Linked DNA regions of Danio rerio. The protein of the gene in region 1 purifies or fractionates together with the protein of each later gene. This does not show direct contact. Links are inferred from orthologs where the notes say so. Each region holds a gene or a part of one and is shown in the gene's direction. Other genes may lie near its edges.

Region 1 (11,281 bases):
ACTGTTCTGTTAGCAACTGAAACTAGCAGGTTTCCCATTGACTTCAATACAGCTAGCCAGCTAAGTCAAGGATGACAACCGAACACAAAGGAGTTAAAGGACTGAGTAAAAAAGCCCAATGTACCCCAACAGCTCGTCCGAGCACCAGATCGTGCATTTCTAATGTTTTATACAATACTTTTTGATGACTCAACTGTTTGTGTTAGCAACTGACGCTAGCAGGTTTCCCATGGACTTCCACACAGTTATCCGGCTAGCAGGCTAAGCCAAAGATAACAACCAAACAGAAAAGAGACTCAGTACAAAAAGACTGCTTTACCTCCACAGCTTGTCCGAGCTCCAGATCGAAGCCGACCACGCAGATGCAATGTAGCCAGGAGGAGAAACGATCCCAAGGTAAAAGTAACGGCTCGGGCTCGGGGTCCCCCACTGCTGGAGGCCCGTCGATAGGCATTTCCTCTGCCGGGGAGACTCTCAGGGTGTCTTCCGGCTCCTCGAGCTGTTCTTCCAGTCCCTCGGACCCCTGAAAGGCCATGGTGACACCTTCAGTTCGGTCCAAGAGAATTCGGGCTCGGTTTGTTGATGAAAGCTGGAGGAACTTGTGCTGTAAATACAAACACGTCCAGGATGAAAGAGGCGGGGCTTGCGTGGAGCGCGTCGCAACGTCATAAGTGAGGATTTGAGCGGGAGCGCGCACGCAACCACAGAGATGTTTGTATTGGCATTTTGTATCATGCGAAACCAAAATGTACCTTTGGGTTTTAAAATCTGCAAATATAGTATTGTAGCTTCATCAAAGGTACAAATCTGATCCATGAAGGCACCACTACAGTGACAAGACACTCTGTACCTTAACAGTGTCAAATGTGCTCCTTCAAGAACTACTTAAAGGCATTTTTCTTTATCCAAAATGTGTTGATTTATTTTCAGTAAATATAAAACATCAAATAAATTTTTTAAGCAATGCTTTTTTAAGTTACTTTATGTGTAAATACACCTTTTTTCATTTACAATAAAGAATAAAAAATACTTAAACATCATTCAAAAGATCTATTTTTTGCTAAATATTTCACAGCACTTTTCACAAAAATGTTACAGAAACTCATTCTCCCATGTACAATGTAAAACTTTTTTCTCCAATTTTCACTCAACACCTTTGTAAACACTTAAAAGTTCATTTAATTTACTTAATTTCAAAATAGAAATAGAGTATTGTAATGAGATATGCACAATGTTTGATTAGTTTACTAAAATGTCAGCATGAACACTTCACATTTGCAGGACTTTTGCCAGCTCAGGTGTGTAGTGAAAAGCAAACGCCACAAGGTGCAGATATCAATAATGAAACTGTGTTTATCAGAAAATGCTCTCCAAATGTTTATTAAAAATGCCTTAAATGTTTAGTTTACAATACCTATAGTTTTGTTTTACCAGTTGTTTTGTATTATAGAACTTAATAATTAATGTTTATGAGTTTTTTAAACATTTGCTTTTAAATGATGATTCATGTTTTAATATAAAAAATTATTCATTAAATCACTTTGCCTTTCCAGCCATACTTATTTTCATAGATATTGTAATAAAGAAGGAGCTGTTTAACTCTTATGTACCTTTTTGTATGAGAACAAGTGTGTATATTCATTTCAAATGTACCATAAAAGGTACAGAACAGTATCATAAAGAGCTCTTTACCACCATGTACCTTTTTTCTGAGAGTGTATAATAAAACATACGATTACTCTGCTTCTCAGAATTTATTTATACAGAACTGTTGAAATTATGTACAGTATTTAAGGCAAGTGTATTATTCATTCATTTTCTTGTCGGCTTAGTCCCTTTATTAATCCGGGGTCGCCACAGTGGAATGAACCGCCAACTTATCCAGCAAGTTTTTACGCAGCGCATGCCCTTCCAGCGGCAACCCATCTCTGGGAAACATTCACAAACACATTCACACACACACACTCATACACTACGGACAATTTAGCCTACCCAATTCACCTGTACCGCATGTGTTTTGACTGTGGGGGCAACCGGAGCACCCAGAGGAAACCCACGCGAAGGCAGGGAGAACATGCAAACTCCACACAGAAACGCCAAGCCGAGGTTCGAACCAGCGACCTTCTAGCTGTGAGGCAACAGCACTACCTACTGCGCCACTAAAAGATAATATATCTACTAAAAGACAAGATTACTTTACAAACTGTATTGTTAATAAATCAAATTAACACCTTCATATTAGTCAATACCATTACTAAAAGTAAATTAAAAACTGAATAAATATAAATGTACAAACATTTACACAAGTAAATAAATAAACTCTATGATGGGCTAAAAATCTGCGGAAGTCGGCAGATTTCTGTGTGCGCAGATTCCAAGTGGGCCTAATAAAAAAATGCACCACCAAGCTGAATACCTTCAATTTGTGTAATTGAGGAATTCATGTTACAGTGAAGTTGCATAATTATGTCTAATTTAATTTACTTAATCCAATACAATATATATTTTAGGTCAAATACAGTTTGATTAAGGCCTGTTTAGTATTGGTTGTTTATTTCTGTGGCACGCTTGCATGGTGACTCCCTGTTGTCTCCAATCAAATTAACATAGCAGGGACTAGTTAATATTGCGGTCTAATATATGGACATTTAACATATAATGTCCCAGGTGCATCATTGAGCCACATTATTGTTTTCATAGGTTTTCCAACAGTGATCACTTAATTACTTCATATGGGTCACATAAGAGACAAAACAATTGGATTAGTCTGAGCAAGACATTAGAGTCAAATCAGCATGCTCCATTTGGTATGACAGATGTTCAGTGCAATTTAGTCCACAGATTCCAAGTCCAAACAGAGGGACTTGGGGCGGGGTGTGCTTTGAAAGCCTCTCCTTCTTCCTGAAACTAAAATACTTTCCAAAGATGATTTATAAATACATTTATGTGAATTTTACTCAAAGTCTAGCGGAAGATGTACCTTGAAAATGCTTTGATTCTGGTGATTTGGATCCATTTTGCTCTGTCTATGTTCACCAAGTGGTCTGTTTTTTCAATAATTGCCATCTTGAGATAAAGGAAAAGTGGCTTGGAAACTCTTTCAATGTTCTTTTAAAATGCAACTTTATGTAAATCATCTAGAATTTACATTATATGCAACAATAACATTTATTATAGACAATTTGATGCAAGAATATTCTGTTAAAATAAACATATATAGGTAAAATATAGATATAATATAGGTACATGTATAGGTAAATATGGGTATAGATGTGGAAATAAACAATTATAAAAATAAAGACAGAAAAAATGCATTTAAAAATATACAGAAGTATGAACTAAAAAGTATATGGGAAATCTTAATTAAAAAAGTATGGTATTTGTTTATCAGGCCATATGTTTGTTTACTAGTTTATAATTTTTATTTGTTTATGTGAATCTCTTATTTGTATGATGACTTTTTTGTTGTTCTTTGTTGTGTTTATTTGTTAGAGCCCTTTTTATAGAGCCAGATTGGTCTCAAAAATATTACATTTAAATAATATAATTCATATATTCACAACTCAAGTTACAGTTACAAAATCCAATTCATAAATTCTAAACGAGATTCATTAATAAACAAATCCAACTTGTAAATTGAAAACATGATTCATAAATACACAAATCCAATCCATAAATTAAAATCGCGATTTATAAATACACAAATCCAATTCGTCAATTCAAAACGCGACTCATAAATACACAAATCTAACTTGTCAATTCAAAACACGATTTATAAATACACAAATTCAATTCGTAAATTCTAAACGTAATTCATAAATACACAAATACATTCCGTCAACTCAAAATGCGATTCATAAATACACAAATACAATTCGTAAATTTAAAACGTGATTCATAAATACAAAAATCCAATTGGTAAATTTAAAATGTGATTCATAAATACACAAATTTAATTCGTAAGTTCAAAACGCGATTCATAAATACACAAATTTAATTTGTGAGTTCAAAACGCGATTCATAAATACACAAATCCAATTCGTCAATTCAAAACGCGATTCATACATACACAAATTCAATTCGTAAATTCAAAACGTGATTCATAAATACATAAATCCAATTCGTCAACTCAAAACGTGATTCATAAATACACAAATACAATTGGTAAATTCAAAACGTGGTTCATAAATACACAAATCTAATTAGTCAATTTAAAATATGATTCATAAATACACAAATCCAATTCGTAAATTCAAAACACGATTCATAAATACACAAATCCAATTCATAAACTGAAAATGCGATTCATTTACACAAATCAGATTCGTAAATACAAATCGCGATTCAAAAATACTCAATCCAATTCATAAGTTTACATGCAATTTATAATTACTCAAATTCAATTTGTAAATTTAAAATGTGATTCATAAATACACAAATCCAATTCGTAAATTGAAAACACTATACAAAAATACACAAATCTAATTAATTTGGTGAAAGTATTTATGATTTTTGCTTGTGAATTTACAAATTGTTGGTTGTATTTACAAGTTGTGTTTTGAATTTACAAACTGGATGTTGTAAATGTGAATTGTGCTGTGCATGGAGGAGTTTTATTATGTACATGTATTATTTTTGAGACTGATCTGACTGGCTCCATACTTTTTTTGTCTGTTCAACAAATTGTTTTACCTGTTGTTGTCTTGCTTGTTGATTGTAAATGAAATGCTATTACAAAAGAAAAAAATAGCATCCGAAAAATGAACAAACAAACATTATTTTCAATCCGCATGAAAAACGTCATCCTTTTTCTCTGGAAACGCGGATCCGCCTACATTTTCGCGTCACCGCAAAGCCCCGCCCCATATCTCGGTGGTGCGCGAGCCCCGCGGCGGTTTGTGGCCGGTGTGTATGTGTGTGTATATCTCTTCAAGAGGACGACTTACTTCCAATTATCCCGTCGCACACAACGATTTCCCTCCCGATTTCAGCGTTCCGAAAAGCGGAGACCTCCATGGCTTAACACGGGACCGTGTCATGGACTTTATTCGTGTATGACTTTCTTTTCTGGGGAAATTTTTGTGTCTCTCAGCAGGCTAAGCTAGTTACCGAGCTCGCGAGCTAATACTGGATTTACGCAAATTCTCCGCGCATGAAAGTTCCACAGACCGAACAAATAGCTGGTTTTCGGGGATAAATCAGCTCGGGGTTATTTATAAAGTCTCTTCCAGCTTGGACGGCTCGATAAGGTGAAAGTAGAAGGCCAGTGTTACCTCAGCGAAGCTAACAAGCTAATATGAAGTTAGCCAGCTAACGCTCTCGTGCGCAAGAAAACACCCTCCGCGCGAGCTGTGCTCTTGTATACAATCCTGACAGCTAAATACTTGCATTTGAAGTCTGTTTAAGTAGGCATTTGAGGTATTTTTCAATATTAATTACTCTGTCTTGGGGAGTGGTGGCTTGATGGTCTGCTCTGCATACTTCAGCCAAACCCACTCACATTATTATTAATCTTCATTACGGTTTAACATTTTCACAAGTGCATTTCGTGCCTAGCAGTCATTCCCTCTAAATATAGACACGCATGTCAACTTGACAGTAATACTTCTTTTTTTTTTTTAGGAGTAAAGGTTGACCAATTCAACAGGTTATTGGTGTACTAGTTGCTGGGTTGTTTACTGGCCAGGCCTATGCTTGTAAAGGGGGACGAGGATGAATTGTGTTGGGAACGAAGTATAACAGCTCGAATTGTGGACTGTCATCTGGACACCCAGATTTGTATGGAATTGGGCAGCTGTATTGGGTTTGGTTCGGCAACATGGGGGTCTCGCAAGGGGGCAAGAAGTCATCTACATAGTGTATAAATATACAGTCTTGTTGACGTTATGTAGTCGGTTTAGCAGGGGTCTTTTTGTAGAGTTGGAATTTTTTTCGTATTACTATGTGCGTTGGTCTGCTGGTCATTCATTAGGAAGAATTGGAGCAACAGGTCAGTCTGGATCAAGAAACCCTGTCTTTCGTCTCTGGTTGGAGTAACACTCCCAAGCCATCCTCAATGCCTTCAGCGCTGGCCGTGTTCTCCTGCCGCCCGAATTCACACCCGTTTCAGGAACGCCATGTTTACCTGGATGAGCCGGTCAAGATCGGGCGCTCCGTGGCCCGGTGTCGCCCTGCCCAAAACAACGCCACCTTCGACTGCAAAGTGTTGTCGAGGAATCACGCTCTGGTATGGTTCGACCACAAGACAGGCAAGGTAAGTCTGATGTTTCACCAATAGATTGGATGTTAACTATAAACATTATTCATTAGATGTACTTATTTTTTTTAAGGTAAGTGGTTGCAAAAATTAGCATGAGCTGAATTTAAACAAATAAACGTTACTACATTTAGTTTGTTTAAATTCAGTCTATATAAATTGTTTGCAACCACTTGCCTCAAAAAAGTTAGTAAGTCCAATGAATATTTTTTTCAGTGTTTGACATATCCACCTCCATCTTTCTTGAATTATTAAGATTTTCTTTGTATCTATCTGTCAATGTTGTCACAATTGTCTGTACTAGGATTATATAGATAATATCCCCACCCAAAAGTAGATTAAGATGGAATTTATGGCTAAATATACCACTGCATTAGATCAGTGTTTCTCAACCACGTTCCTGTAGGACCACCAACACTGCATATTTTGGATGTCTCCTTTATCTGTTACATTCATTACAGGTCTTTCAGTCTCTGCTGATGATCTAAATCAGGTGTGTTTGGTTAAGGAAACATGGGGTGTTTCTCAATAGGCGTTTTTCAGCGATCCTGCGTCCTCGTGTTCTTCTGTAATGTCGTCATTAACTGCCTATGTTCAGTTCCAAAACTCAAGACGGCAAGAACGGAGGACGCGTGAAAGTTGCCAGATGTGTTCTTGATATCGTAGAGTCATCGATGCAGACTTGAGCACAAAACTTGCTTGAGAAGTCCTAGAAGTCGTTGTGGCTGTATGAAGGAGGTGGGAAGCGCAGCATTTTATTTAGATTTATTATTAAAGTTTAGAGATGTAACTTATTTACTTCAGGAGTTTCCCTAAATGAGACGGTGAATTTAAACATTACCATGTAAATCATAATAATGGCATAAGCACATAAAGGGTGTTTACTTGTTGAAATTCGTGTTAAAATTAGTTTTATTTGTATTGTGAAGCATATATTTGTACGTTTTTTTTATGCATGGTATATATTATGTATGGGGGAAAACAATAAATCGTTGTTGTAGGAATGCTGTAATGTTTAAACCATATTCCATTAAAAACATGTGAAGGTCACGTCACCATCAGGAAGACCCAGGGAAGAACACAGCATCTCATTTCTCACAGGATGCGTTCTCTGTTCTCAGCGTTCTAGGAATTAAGAGACAGTCTAGGAACATGTGCAGAGCTGGTGGTCCTCCAGTAATGTGGTTGAGAAACACTGCATTAGATCACAGGTGTCAAACTCAGTTCCTTGAGGGCCGCAGCTCTGCACAGTTTAGTGCAACCCTAATTAAACACACCTGATGAAACTAATTGAATTCTTTAGGCTTGTTTGAAACACACAGGTAAGAGTGTTGAAGCAGGTTTGGAACTAGACTGCAGGTCAACGTCCCTCCAGGAACTGAAATTGACACCCCTGTGTTATATAGTAAATATATTAGCTTTTTCTTAAAACTAATCCAAAGATTCAATGAGCAAAAAAAAACACTATTTCAATGAGCTTTTAAAGGGATAGTTCACATAAAAAATGTAAATTCTGCCATGAAAGTCCACTTGCTCTAAAACTGAGTTTGTTTCTTCTTTTGAACAGAAAGAAAGGTTTATTGAAGAATGTCAGAGAAAGCAACTGACTTTAGTATTTTTACATTTATACTATGGATGTCAATAGCTGTTTTTTATGTCAATGGCTGAATATTCTTTAGAAAATCTTGTTTTATGTTTAAGAGAAGAAATTTATAAAGTAAATGGTGAACTGTCCCTTTAATGCATTGTGTCAAACTCCTGGAGGGCCACAGCTCTGCACAATTTAGTTCCAACCCTAATTAAACACACCTAATCCAACTAATTTTTTAGTTAAGTCCTTCAGGCTTGTTTGAAACCTAAAGGTAATACTGCGGTCACGCTAGAGTTTGTGCGTGCGTAATTCTGTTGTACGGCGCTGCGAATAGGATTAAAAAAGATGGTTAGACATTTAAAAAAAAGGGAGCGATAGGTCCATATATTAATTTTCTGTCCAGAGAGGTCATGTTTTCAACTTCAATTGGTCTCACGCCATCATGTGATGTGATTTCGCAGGTCAGAGCTCACCAAGCTTGAACTTTCCAATGTAGCGAACTGCTAAACTTTTCACATAAGCTTGCGTTTCCAGTCTGACGCATTCGTGTGTGTATAAATTGAAGTCTATGGGGAGAAAAGTGCAGTGAGGCCGAAACTAAACTGTGCCGGACTGGGGCCCTCCCGGAAATGAATTTGACACCCCGGCTTTAATGTGTGTAAATACCAAGAACATAAAGTAATTCATTTTATGAAATTAATATTTAGTAACAAATATATTTAATAACAACTTTATTTTGTAATTTGGTAAAAAAAAAAATAGTAACAAAAGTATGTATAATATTGACAATAATTATATGAATATGCCATAGGTCTCAAACTCGATTCCTGGAGGGCCACAGATCTGCACAGTTTTGATCCAACCCCAATCAAACACAGCCGATTCAAATAATCAAGGTGTTCAAGATTACTAGAGACTATTAAGCAGATGTGAGTTGGAGGTGGTTGGAGCTAAACTATGCAGAGCTGCGGCCCTCCAGGAATTGAGTTTGAGACCATTGGAATTTGCAGTTTGCCGAAGCCCCAAGCGTACTTAGGCTCGATGGGCTTTTAAAACCTCTATGACCTTCCAGTGGTCATTGGCAGTGACGTACCATGTAGTGTGCTTGACACCAGTTTTATTGAGGTGTAAATCTTCTTTAGTTAACTTCTGCTGTTTAGTAAATTCTACAACATCGGAGTGCTTATGCAAAAACTTCCATGTTGCTTTGATCAGATGTTTTTTCACCTTTATTAATTTTGTTCTGTAGAAATGGCCAATTTCTAGCTTTGAAGATTCCAAAATGTAAGGGTTCAGGTCAGGTGCGCACACAAAGTATGTTGCATTATATCCAACTCTAACATATTAAAGTGAGTTTTAAAACAATTCACTTTAAAACGGGTGTTCATGACTTTGTTTGTATACCAGTATCTTTCAGACACACTTTTGGACATTTATGGTAGAATTGAATTTTCACAATTGATCAGATTTGACCTGATAATCTTAATTCAGGCATCTGTTATCTATATTGTGATGATTTTGAGACATGGCGGCTATGACCTGAATGTTTGCCATTACATGCTGTCTGTCACAGTCGTGTTGTCTCATAATATCTGTCAGGAAGGTACAAGCCTTTTTACAGCATCAAATAAACTCTGCGGCTAACATGCGTGACGTTGCTGGATTGTGTTTAGTAAACTGTAGTGAAATATTGTTGTGGCATCTATATGCTGCATGTGTTTATGTAAAAATTTATGGCTGTTAATTCTGACTCTCTAGTCTGGCTTGTGTAATTGGATGTCCAGGTTTTTTTTTTTTTTTTTAGCTTCCTGGTACTCGCATTATTATTGCGTCTCCCACAGCATCATGTGTGAATGAAAGTGTAAAATAATCCTGTTGAAAGGAGCAGAACATGTTTCACTATGCAGTATCCATGGACATACCCAGTAGGGCTGTGCAATGTTGAAAAATGAGATATGCGATAGCATGCTAAATAATGCAGTGTGTAATATCAGATACATTATTGTAAAAATGTTATAACCAAAAGGTTTTATGTAATTTCAGAAAAAGGAAAGCATTAGGATAACAAAGTCAGGCTGCATGATTCTGGCTAAAATGAGAGTCATGATTTGTTTTTGCTTTAAATAAAGATCATGATTTTCTCGCGATTCTGTAGATAAAATAATTGTTGATATAAGTAGGCTAATGTCATTGTTATTTCCCAGAAATATTATAAAACAACAATAATAATATTAGGCCTGTGTGTGGGTCTACTGTTGATTAAAAGGCTAAATTTGATATAGACTTAGAGAGATATCCTGTTTGTTAATTCACAGTAAAGTGATGACATAAGAATACAACTATTCATAATTCTGATGTTAAATTATTGAGACATATGCTTGTCATTGACAACATTATTAGACCATTTTATTTTACTGTTATAATGAAACATTTGTCATTATCCGACACAATCTCATGGCAATTCGTAACTTTTTGATTTAGTGGCTAATTCGTATGAGTTTGTATGATCTAATTCCTATGATTTGCTTATCCCATACTGATGGTTGGGTTTAAGGGTGGGGTTGGGTGCCACGCCTCCTTTTTAAAATCGTACAATTTTGTACGACTGAACTCTTACGAATTCATACAAATTAGCCACTAAATTGACAACGTAAAATACTTATGTTTTTTCCCGTATGATCAGGCAGCATTATCAGATTTTCTTCATGCATAATGCTCAACATTATATAGGCTAGAGTAGTTATACCGACCCTGTTAAAATGTATTTGTATGCAGCCATGCACAACACTTCGCTATGAAAGAAAAAACATATCCAGTGCTTGTTGTAATCATAACTGTGAAATGCGATATGATCGTTTAAATGATGTGAATACTTTCAGTTTCACTTTCACTGCCGAGTGCACTCATGTCATGGCTGTCGTCACTTTGAGAAAAAAAAAACATACATGCAAACCATACAAACCGAAAGTTATTTTTCAGCTTTATTAGCTGTTATTTACAGCCTATGCAGGTTTTGTTCACTAAAGTAGATGTCATTGATGGGCACGCTCGCATCCTCTTGGTAGTAAACAAACTGCGTCAGCTTGTGATTTCGCCGCCGTGATTAGCTTCCATCATTACATTAAGACAGAAATGACTTTTTGTGTGAATTATACCTTATGAATACAGTATGTGACACTTTTAATGCAATTTGGAGGTGTCCATGTTGCTGCGTAACGTATATAAAACAATTTAAAGACTCTTTACACTTCTCTCCTGACCTTGAAAATATAAATGTCTAAATTGAAGAAAAGCTGAATTAAGTGAATCGAGTTTGCAATCTTTTTTTGATTAATCATGCAGCCCTACAACAAAGTTAAAAGCCATGTTTTACTGTTGCATAAAACCAGTTAGACATTATAACAATGTGTACAAACAAAAATAATTTATATAAT
Region 2 (10,670 bases), on another chromosome or scaffold:
CTATATTGATCATCTGAGGGGATGTGTTTTTATGTTTGAACAGTATTACACAATGCTCATTGGGCTTTTGCTGATCAGATATTTGAGCTTGACCATTAAATACTTTAGAACATAAGGTGAAGGTAGTGTTGACTCGATCAATGGACTGGCGTCTCGCTGTCCTGCTTGCTATGCTGTTTTTTTTATGGGAATTAAAACTTGGGTTCTAATTAGTACATTTTAGGAGGTCTATGTACTATGTACTGTATATTTTCATTTAACAATAATATTACACCATTGAATTGTTGTGGACAACTCACTTTACCTTCACGGTTTTTACCAAAAGCACACAGGATTTCCTCTGCTAGATTACCTGCCAAACAAGTAAGGTTGTCATGAGAGTCTGCAGGAGCTCTTGTTCCTCCAGGAAGGCTGAGGGTTTGGTTGTCTATAAATACCCCTCCCCTTGCCTCCTCTCATTCACTTCCTGGCCTTTAAGAGGGGTCAAGTTGCACAGCTGCTCTCATTTGCTAATGTTAACCTGCTCTTTAGAGCTCAGTTCCTCTGGGCCACTGCCTTCCAGTGGCTTGTGTTGGTTCCTCTTAAGAAAATGAGATGAAATGATTTCAATCCAGTCAAATCATGGTTATTGATTTAAATCAAATTGATTCGCCAAGTTCACCAAGCAAATGATTCGTTCACAAACGCGTGATTTTGTGTGTGTGTGTGTGTATGTGTGATGTCAGCAAGAGCATGTCTGTTCCAAATTTGTTCTCTCATTTCGAACATTTCACAAGTTGACATCTCAGCTAAAATTTATATGCTCTGGTTTAACCTCTATTTCACGTGTTCTCATCATGACGTCTGTTTCTGTGTTGCAGGCCCGAATAGCATTCCTCCAAGGAGAAAGGAAGGGGCAGGAAAATTTAAAGAATGACCTTGTTAGAAGAATAAAAATGTTAGAATATGCATTAAAGCAAGAAAGGTTTGTGATTCTTTTTTGTAACATTAGTTATTGTAAAAGAAAATGTTGATCAAAGTAAAGCTATTTTCATATTTATATTAAAAAGCTTATGCATGTATGTGTGTGTGTGTTAGTTTATGTATGCCTGTATTTTTAACAAAGATTCTGTCTTTCATTTCTAGAGCAAAATACCATAAATTAAAATATGGGACAGAACTTAATCAAGGTGAAGTGAAAATGCCTAGCTTTGAATCAGGTAAGAGGACCCAACCTATTTTTAAAGTGTATAATATCAGGGTTCACACCCTTCTTGAAAGGACTTGAATTTCAGACATATAGTTTCAAGGTCTGTAAAGTACTTTAAAAAAATGAAGGTCCTTGAAAGTGTTTAAATTATATTTGAAATGACATTAGTTTATGGTTTTATTTTAACAATTGTACTCAATTGTCAAAAAAGAATGATAAAAACAGAAATTATTTTAAAAATGTACATTTATTCTTGTACAATAGCACTGACAAATAATGCACATTTTACCAACATTTCAGAAACCGCATTTGAATGTCACCAATATTGAATTCAACAAATTTTGTTAAAGTTCTTTAAACAGGATTTTTTAATCGGTCAAAAAATGGTTTTAATGTAAATATTAGGTGTAAATGAAATGTTAAGCACAGGAAGGCCTTTCATATGCTGGAGTGTGAATTACAAAGTGCTTGATTTAAAATTAATGGTGCTTTAAAAAGTCCTTAAGAGTCTTGAATTTGCTGTTCACGAAAGCATGGGAACCCTGTAATATACAATACAGTCTGATATCTATTATATATTTTTTTTTACAATGGACCTTTTCACAAGAGTGTTATGACGCTTTTAACAGTCATCATAATCTTAAATTCTTGAAAGTTTTTCAATATTTTTATTTTTTTTAAACGTATGTATATTTATGTTTTTACATCTTTATTATATCTTCTTTGCATGAAATTACAAAAAACGAAATGCTGATAGTGCAAGGTGTTTGTAATGCAGCATCTATGGACAGGACAGTAAATTTAATGTTGTTCTTTCTTCTGGCTGTTATTAGTATCACACTTTTTTTTTTCTTTTTCTGAAAGTCTTCATAACACCATTGTGGTGTTTTTCTTTTGAGATTTCAGCAAATAGGATTGTAAAAAAAGTTAAAATTGTTGTACTCTCCATTCACTGTGCACTAAGTTTACCTAACTATGATGACTTCTGCTACTTAGAAACCAAAAAATGTGAAATGGATCTATTTGAAATATTAAATGTATATATAATGTATTTCTGTTAAAGTTTAATTTTTCAGCATACATTCTTCAGTCATGTTATTATTATTATCATTATTATTATTAAAAATGTTACTATTACTAGTTTAACCAGATATAAAGTATGATACATTTGTAATCTATTTATGTTTGATAGCTAACAGCTTTTGAAAACTAACAGTACTTTTACTAACAGTAATATTAGTGATTAATATTAGGGATGCACTTGGTTGGAAACCTAAAGACGTTTTATGTTAATGTTTATCACTGTTTTACATTTTTATAAATTTTAAATTTTCTGATTAAAATCAACAAAATTTGAAGGTTGAGACTTTCTAGTTGTTTCATATAAAAGCAATAGACATTAGACCTACCCATAAAGTCCACACATTTAACTGTTGTAGTTTGACCTTGTTATGTCAAGCTGAGCAATCAAATTGACCCATCAGAGAATCTCCAAATAAATGTGACTTTGTTTTAATCAACCACTTCAGTCCTTCAAAACCATTTCATCCTCAATCTGAAAATAATTTTTTCTAACGGAATATCCAGAAACATTTTAATGGTTGTATGCATGTATTTTTTTGTTCTGGAATCTCAAATGTGTTTGTTATCACTTTATTTTGATGGTCCCTTTAATGCATTTTGTTGAATTTAAGTTGCATTGCATCTATATGCCAACTAATTCTCAATAGGTTATAAGTAGTGTTAGGTTGGGGTTAGGGTTACGGTTAGTGTAATTTGACATGTACTTGTAAAGTTTCAAATAGTCAGTTAAATGTGTTGATGGAGCAGAATCAGCAGATATTAAGCTGAAAGTCTACTAATACTCAAATGAGATGTAATTGACATGTAGTTGAAATGCAACTTTTAGTCAATAAAATGTGCAATAGGGACCATCAAAATAAAGTTTTGCCATGTGTTTTATTAAACTTTTGTATTTTTCTGTTTCATAAAGAAGATACCAAAGATACAGAGGTCTCAGCTATACCACAGAATAGCCAGTTAACGTGGAAACAGGGCAGGCAACTTCTCAGACAGTAAGTTAGCCTTGAGTCATTATACTTTTCCTAATGACGCTTGTGCATTCCGTGTGTGCGTGCATTTCAGTTCTGCTAAGAAAGTTCATAGGCATCTGTGTTGTCACGTTATCACTATTTATATCACCGGCTCTGTTCTGACCGACTTTACGCATCTGTCTTTTCAAGATATCTTCAGGAAGTAGGTTATACGGACACAATACTGGACGTCCGGACGCAGCGAGTGCGGTCATTACTAGGACTGTCCGGCTCAGAGCAGAATGGTTCCGTGGAAACCAAGAACCTAGAACAAATTCTAAATGGAGGCGAATCTCCAGCCAAAAGAAAGGGACAAGACATGAAAAGGTGTTGATTGATTTGATTTGATGCAACTGGTAAATTCATATAAACAATTAAATGAGATTTCTTAACGTTGTCTGTGATGCCTTTTGTTTAACAGGAATCCAGAAGTTCTGGAGACATTTAATTTTTTAGAAAACGCTGATGATAGTGATGAAGAAGATGATGATGAGGGTGATATAATGGAGGATGTGCCTGACAGGAGCGATAAACGCAGAATAAAAAAACATAAGATTAAGGTGTGTAACCAGGATATTTTACATGTCAATGATCTCAAAGTAGTCATTCTCAGGATATAGAAGTTCATGTGTTGTAGTCTTGACTACTTTTCCAGGTCGGAAATGAAGGATTGGCTTCAGACTTGCCGGATGACCCTGACACAGAGGACGCACTCAAAGAGTTTGACTTTTTGGTGAATGCGGAGGATGGAGAAGGTGCTGGGGAAGCTCGGAGTTCTGGAGACGGCACAGAGTGGGGTAAATAGTTTGCTTTTTACTTTAATGCTGCTTTACTATGGTACATCACACTTTTGGGAGATTTGCACTGTGCAGAGTACCTGGTATACCTCTGTTGAGTTTTGAAGTGAGCTGTGCAGAAACTAAAAGAGAGAATCGTCACTACCTGCGTCATTGTAACACGACACAACAAACCTGCAAGATGTAAATAAATAGTCAGCATCAGCCGCTGTGGGATTATTTTCAATGACTGACACGCATCTTCTAATGGCTGTATCATGGTCAGTAGAGAAGGTGCAGACGTTCCTCATGTTGATATTCAAGAAGCAGATCCAGTGTGATCTGGATGTGGCAACCAGGAATTAGGTTACATTTTAGTAGATGCGGTGCAAAAAAACGTATAATCTCATCCACTTTGCTTTTTTTTAACCACACAGTGAAAAAGTGACTTAAGGCTACATTTTCTTGTCAACAATGTAACCAAAAACTGAAAACTTTTTTTACTTGCATTAAAAAAAAGTTTCACATTTACATATCTTTTTCAAAATACATTTATGAAAATGTCCTAAAACACTGATTTATATTTGGCAGAGCAGTATTTGATGTTTTCACCTTGTTAGTAGGGCTGCATAATGTTAAAAAAACTGATATGGCAATATTTAGTTTTGCTGCGATATAATATTGCGTTATGAATATAATCACTAGATTCACTGAATAGCTCCAACCTATTTGGAAAGATGTCATTCTTTGAGATTGACTGAGGTGATCAAATCTATTTCTATGCAGTGTGTCTAAATATGACAGAGTAAAAATAAAAGTTTAATAAACAGTGCTTTTTTTGTGGAGTCTAACAGTATTCAAATACAAAACCATACAAAAATATTGTACAAATCATTGTTTAAACCTTGTATGCAATAATATAAAAATTATATTCAGCATTTTCTTTATATTTTGATATTTAATCAATTGAATACTGCGATGTGACTATTGTGGAAAAACACATTGCGAAATCAATGCGCAAGCGGTATATTGTTCAGCCCTACTTGTTAGAAAATAGTACCCCAAGGAAGGAATGATGTTCAGTTGGCGGCTCTGCGCTGATGTTTATGTAGAATTCAAAGTGTGTAAGATGCGTCTATGCTGTTGCTTGTAATGCAAAGTAAATCCACACCTTGCTCCTGAAGCATTAGCCAACAGTTGAGCATCAACAACACTAGCATGTACTGTGCCACTGTTGTGTGTTTATTTGGGCTTGCCTTTAATCTGCATCTCCCTAAATGTGCACACACATGACGTCATTGTGTAAGCCCCAAAAAAATAGTTATTGAAAAAAAGGCGACAATGTTCTTAATAACTTTAACTTTGAAATCCATTTTCATATTTATGCAGGTAATGTCACAGAAATGCTAAACGAACAAGCAAAATACTTCAAACGTTTTGAGATATTGGCTGAAATTGTTGTCGCATAAAGAGCCACTAAGTGTGACTGAGTATAATTTGTGTTATTGAGTGAAAAACACAGGTCACATTGGTGTGCAAGTCTATAATTCATTCCAAAGTAGTATGAAATTGGCTGCCAGTAGCCCTAAATAAACTGAAATGCCTACAGACATTATAAACGTATATTCTACTATGTCACTCTACAACAAATCTTTTTAATAGTGCTCAGTACAGAAAAGGAACAATAGGTATGAAAAAACTATCAAGAATAAAAAGCAGTTGTTATGTCAGTGGCTGAAAGCATAATTCAATATAAATGTCAAGTCTAAACTTGTTTATTCAAAGCAAAACTGAAATGATTAGCATTATTATATATATATATATATATATATATATATATATATATATATATATATATATATATATATATATATATATATATATATATATATATATAAAATATGTGCTATAATCTAAATAGTTGTGTGTCTCATTCATCACCAATCCACCAATGCATTTGTTTTGCTCACCTCATACTAATTCCATTAAGTCACTTTGGAGTTTAGGTTGCATCCTTTTTAAATGAAAAAATGTCTTATATTTTGAAATACATAATAATTGTCAAGTGATGAAACAGGGCACATCTCTTAATATTCTTACAGGATTTGAGTGTTTGATTATTAAGCAGGACATCCTTATTAGTGTGTAGTATTGAAATATGGACTGAAATTTAAAGGTTCATCCAAACAAGAACTATTTATTATCAACCCAGCCTAGTGTTGATCCAGCTCTGTTTTTTATATTAGATTTTAGAATGTTCATTTATTTGTGATTGGTCAAATCAAAAGTGGTTTATATTGAAGACTTCTAAACAGGACATCATAGCACCATAGTGATGCTATAATTGTTTTTTTTTTTTATGACAACAGATTTTCAGCAGCCATTACTTGTCACATGATCCTTTAGAAGTAAATAAAACATATTGATGTGTTAATAAAGAATATAATTTTTTTATTGCCCCAAATATGACATTGTTGATTTTGACTTTTTGTGGTCTTACAAAGCTTGGAACATACAGGTGATGATGATAGTCCATTAGTAAACATTAGCATTAATGTTTAGTGTATGGAAATGAGCTGTTTTGACATTATGCAAGTTTGCTAGTCTTTTAATTAAAGAAAAGAGACTGCATAAATGTGAAAACATAATGAACTATATGAATCTGTGTCTGTATGGGCATGTGTGTTCCTTGCATGTGATTGTGGCACACACCGGCCCTGCAGTAGAATCTTAACGAGGCCAGTTGCTGCATCAGCATTCCTGCCAGGAGATTCTCTTACTGCTCCGACCAGAGCCAGCTGGGTCAAACACATCAGCTCATTACATCCATCCCGCAGCCGTGCTTTTTCTTTTTGTATCTCTCACTCTTTTTATCTTACTCACTTCTCTTTGACCTATTTCTAAGCTAAGGATTATGTAAATCTTACTATAGAGTATGCATTTTTGATAAAGTAGCATAATTATGTGTGAAGTGTCACCCCTAAATTGGGATGTTTATTACATTTAAACATTTGATCAATACGTGGTGTATTCCTGAAACATAAACTCTGTTGATTAACCCAGACTTTTGTTTCTGAACGTTTCTTCATTCCAAAAGTTTGCAAGCAAAGTTACCTTTTCAAAGTGAGCATTTTAACTCCAGGTCCAGGTGTATCATAATTCTTTCTTTTAATTCGTCACACCCATTGCGGCTTCATTAATAAGACATGCATGCACCTAACACCTCTAAAGTAAATTAAGCCGGAAACATAAACCTCTCTAAAGCAGTTGTTCAGAAAGAATTTGTAAGGAATATTTGGCTACAGATTGTACAAGCAGGTTTGTACAAGCAAGATTGTCCTTCAGAAAAAAGGATGTTTTTTTTTTTTTTACAAACAGTGTCTGACATAAGGAAGTTAAATGAGTAAAAGGGAAAGAACGGTCAAACTAAAACAGATTTCCAGAAGAAATGTTATTTAAGTAGCATTTCAAACCACATATGAATGTTACTTGAATAGAGTTTGTAAATATGTTTTTTATTTTTATATTTACGTTCACAGTAAAAATAAGTGATTGTGGATAGCCGGGCAAGTTTTTATTGGTCAAAAATGATTAAGTAGTGTGGATACTAGCAGCTCATTTCCACTGATTGTTACGGTCCGGTATGGTATGATTCGGTATGATTCGGTATGCTTTTATGGCCATTTCCACTGTCAAAAAGTACCAACGAGCAAACCGTAGCGTACCACTTTTTAGGTACCCTTTTGGAAGGTTACCTATCACAACAAATGGGTTACAAAAGGTGGAGCAAGACGCACAGCTGAACGCTATTGGTTTACAGAGAAGCATCACTAGCTCATGTGCAAGCCAGGTGAATGAAAACAAAGGAAGCTTTTTTTTTTTTTTTTTAAACTGCCATGTTTACCTATTATCATTGCCTTCTCAACTATTAAGAACTCTAAATGATGGAATTACTTTCTAACAGAGGCTACATGTGCTAGTGAAGATTGAATATGCAGTTGAGAGGTCTGCACTGACTTTGGGCTATATTGTGTGTTGTTTTTGAACCCCAAATAAGGAAATGTATGCTGTGTGCCGTTATTTTTTAATGAGTAACATATCGGAGACTTGGTTTGTATGTTTTCATGCATGTTGCATTTATTTATTTTATATAATTGCAGATGTTACAGTAGGTTATTTCGCCTTATCATTGATCTGCCATCAATGTAACTGTAACAACTTGGTTTTAAAAAGAATTGTATTTGTGTAAATGACACTTTAGAATCCATTTTTGTGTTAGGCTCTGTTTTTTGTTGAGCTCATTACAATTGCATGCTCAAAGCTAGCTTTTTTTATTTTTTTTTTATTTTTTACTTTTAACCATTTCAAAAGTGGCAGAAAAATGGAAGCTTCAACTTTCTCTATTGTTATCCATTGTACCCTTGGCTTGCTTATTTTACACTGTTAGAGGATGGTAGATCATACTCCCAAAGATTATAAAAAGACCATAGATATATCCACCCATTACCTTCACCACAAAAAAATAGGGAAGTGGACAAAAGTGTTAGGTTAAAACACTGGGTAACAAGAAATGGATCTCATCTATCTCTAATCGACCCCTAATTGCCTCTTACCAGTGGCTTACAGATTTATTAAGCTGTTAACTGCTATAAAACATATTACTGTATTGCTTAAGCCCCGTTTTCCACTCCAAGGTGTGGCGCCTTGTTTACTGGGCCCTTCTCTTCTATTTTCTATTCTTAGCTGAGCCTCTGCCATTCACGCCTGGTGGGGGCAAGTCCTTTATCATGGGTTCTGATGACATGTTGGAAAGTGTGCTGGGCCTGGGAGACCTCGCCGATCTGACTGTTTCCAATGACGAGGCTGAATACAGCTATGATGTAAGTACCCAGACTGCTCCTCTGCTTTAATAATACTTTACACTGGCATTAATAAATAATAGCATCGACTTGAAAAACACTGTCTGATCCCCTGCTTAATTTTTAAATGCAGTATTGTTTAACTATCAGTTAATTGTTACACAAAACAAAGCCCATCATGTTTACTCAAATGTCTTGTACTATATTAGTTTCATTCTGTATAAAGGTTACAGAGAACATCAGTTGTTCATGCCTGGTGTGCTTTGCTGTGTACTCAGATAGGACAGCTATCCTATTCTCTTACTGTCAATCCTTAATGAATCAATCATTTCACAGTTATTCCAATGCCTTTAAAATGCCCCCCTATTTTTAGCTGCCAGCCAATAAGGATGCATTCAGGAAGACATGGAATCCCAAATATACCCTGCGTAGCCACTTTGATGGAGTGCGAGCCCTGGCTTTCCATCCTGTAGAGCCGGTGCTGGTCACAGTCTCAGAAGATCACACGCTCAAACTGTGGAACCTCCACAAGACCGTTCCTGCCAAAAAGTAAGTGCTCGCAGTGGCCTTCCAAGGAAAGCAATGTCCTGAGTTTGAATTAATGTTTTACATAGCCGCATTGATTTCAAAATGTTTTTTATCTGTAACAGCTCTAAATAAACCACTAAACACAGTTTTAACTTGCTTTGCAGAAGTGCCTCTTTTGATGTGGAGCCTATATACACGTTTAGAGGGCATATGTAAGTATTTGTTATTACCTTCTTTGTTTCACTTATTGGTTTTTGGTGTGTGATTTTGACCATAAAGTAACATCTTGATTTTTAGGCGAGGGTTATTAATTCAAGCGATTAGTTCAAAATGTCAGATTCATTTTGACCTGAAGCAAAGGACTGTCTTAATGAAGAGATTATTGAGTTATTAGCTCACTTGATTTGTTCATTCAGGGACAAAACCCTGCAAAATGTTCTCCTCCAACTTTTTTTCGAAAAAATTTCATTGATGTAGCAAAAAACATTGTGTCTGAAAGGTATCTCACTCAGGATTCTTGTGTGCTGAAAGTTTGATGCAAAATCAGCATCAAATTTCAAATCCACTCATACTTTCAACTCTCACCCATAATTTGTCAGTTATTCCTGAAATTAATGGCTCATTATAACGACATTCTAACAGGCTTCGTCACACTTTGATAACTTTTGTATTGTAATGACATGTATTGGAAGAATATGAGTAATTTTCCAGGGCTGGTTCACCATTATAAAAAAATTCAGTCGGTCTTTCATAATGTGTGAAACCGCAAACATCATGATTAAATGATAAAAGATATAAATGTAGCTATTTTGTTTTTGTTGTTTTTGAAGTGCCAAAATTTTATGAAGACTTATGCCTCATTCAAACTAACAGTGATTTTTTAGCTGCCTGTCGCTCTGGGTGGCGACCTGCTGCAAACACAGGTCTGTGTAGGTCAGGGCTATTCAATTGGCAGCCCGCAGGAAAAGTGTGACCAAGACATCAAAAATAAATTTAGTTTAGTCATAAAACGGTTACCATAGTTATGAAGTGACATGCGTCTGTTCAATACAGCACGAGCTGCAGTTGAAAACTGCGCAGAGCGTGAGTCACCTAACATAAGCAATTGCTGCAAGCAGCTGAAAATATTCAAGTGGTGCTCGCTGCAGAGCCATTTGAAGAGAGCTGAGCTCCAGCGAGGGGGAGCTTAAGCTTGAGCTCCACCTTTTTTGCACTTCTTCTACGA

Evidence for each region. Proteins that work in one complex are often made in the same cells at the same time.
Region 2: the proteins of slmapa (region 1) and strn3 purify together in Homo sapiens (affinity purification with mass spectrometry; 5 studies listed by BioGRID and IntAct, with this or other methods). This does not show direct contact. The link is inferred for Danio rerio from reciprocal best matches to the Homo sapiens genes SLMAP and STRN3.

The regions. Positions count from the first base shown.
Region 1 is NC_133186.1:44,731,651-44,742,931, reverse strand, and holds the start of slmapa (sarcolemma associated protein a), read left to right. Parts: upstream 1-4,864; 5' UTR 4,865-6,055; coding exon 6,056-6,253; intron 6,254-11,281. UniProt on the Homo sapiens protein: Associates with the striatin-interacting phosphatase and kinase (STRIPAK) core complex, forming the extended (SIKE1:SLMAP)STRIPAK complex.
Region 2 is NC_133192.1:30,199,762-30,210,431, forward strand, and holds part of strn3 (striatin-3), read left to right. Parts: intron 1-860; coding exon 861-964; intron 965-1,125; coding exon 1,126-1,199; intron 1,200-3,182; coding exon 3,183-3,264; intron 3,265-3,432; coding exon 3,433-3,609; intron 3,610-3,703; coding exon 3,704-3,842; intron 3,843-3,937; coding exon 3,938-4,079; intron 4,080-8,801; coding exon 8,802-8,938; intron 8,939-9,290; coding exon 9,291-9,466; intron 9,467-9,609; coding exon 9,610-9,657; intron 9,658-10,670. UniProt on the Homo sapiens protein: Calmodulin-binding scaffolding protein which is the center of the striatin-interacting phosphatase and kinase (STRIPAK) complexes.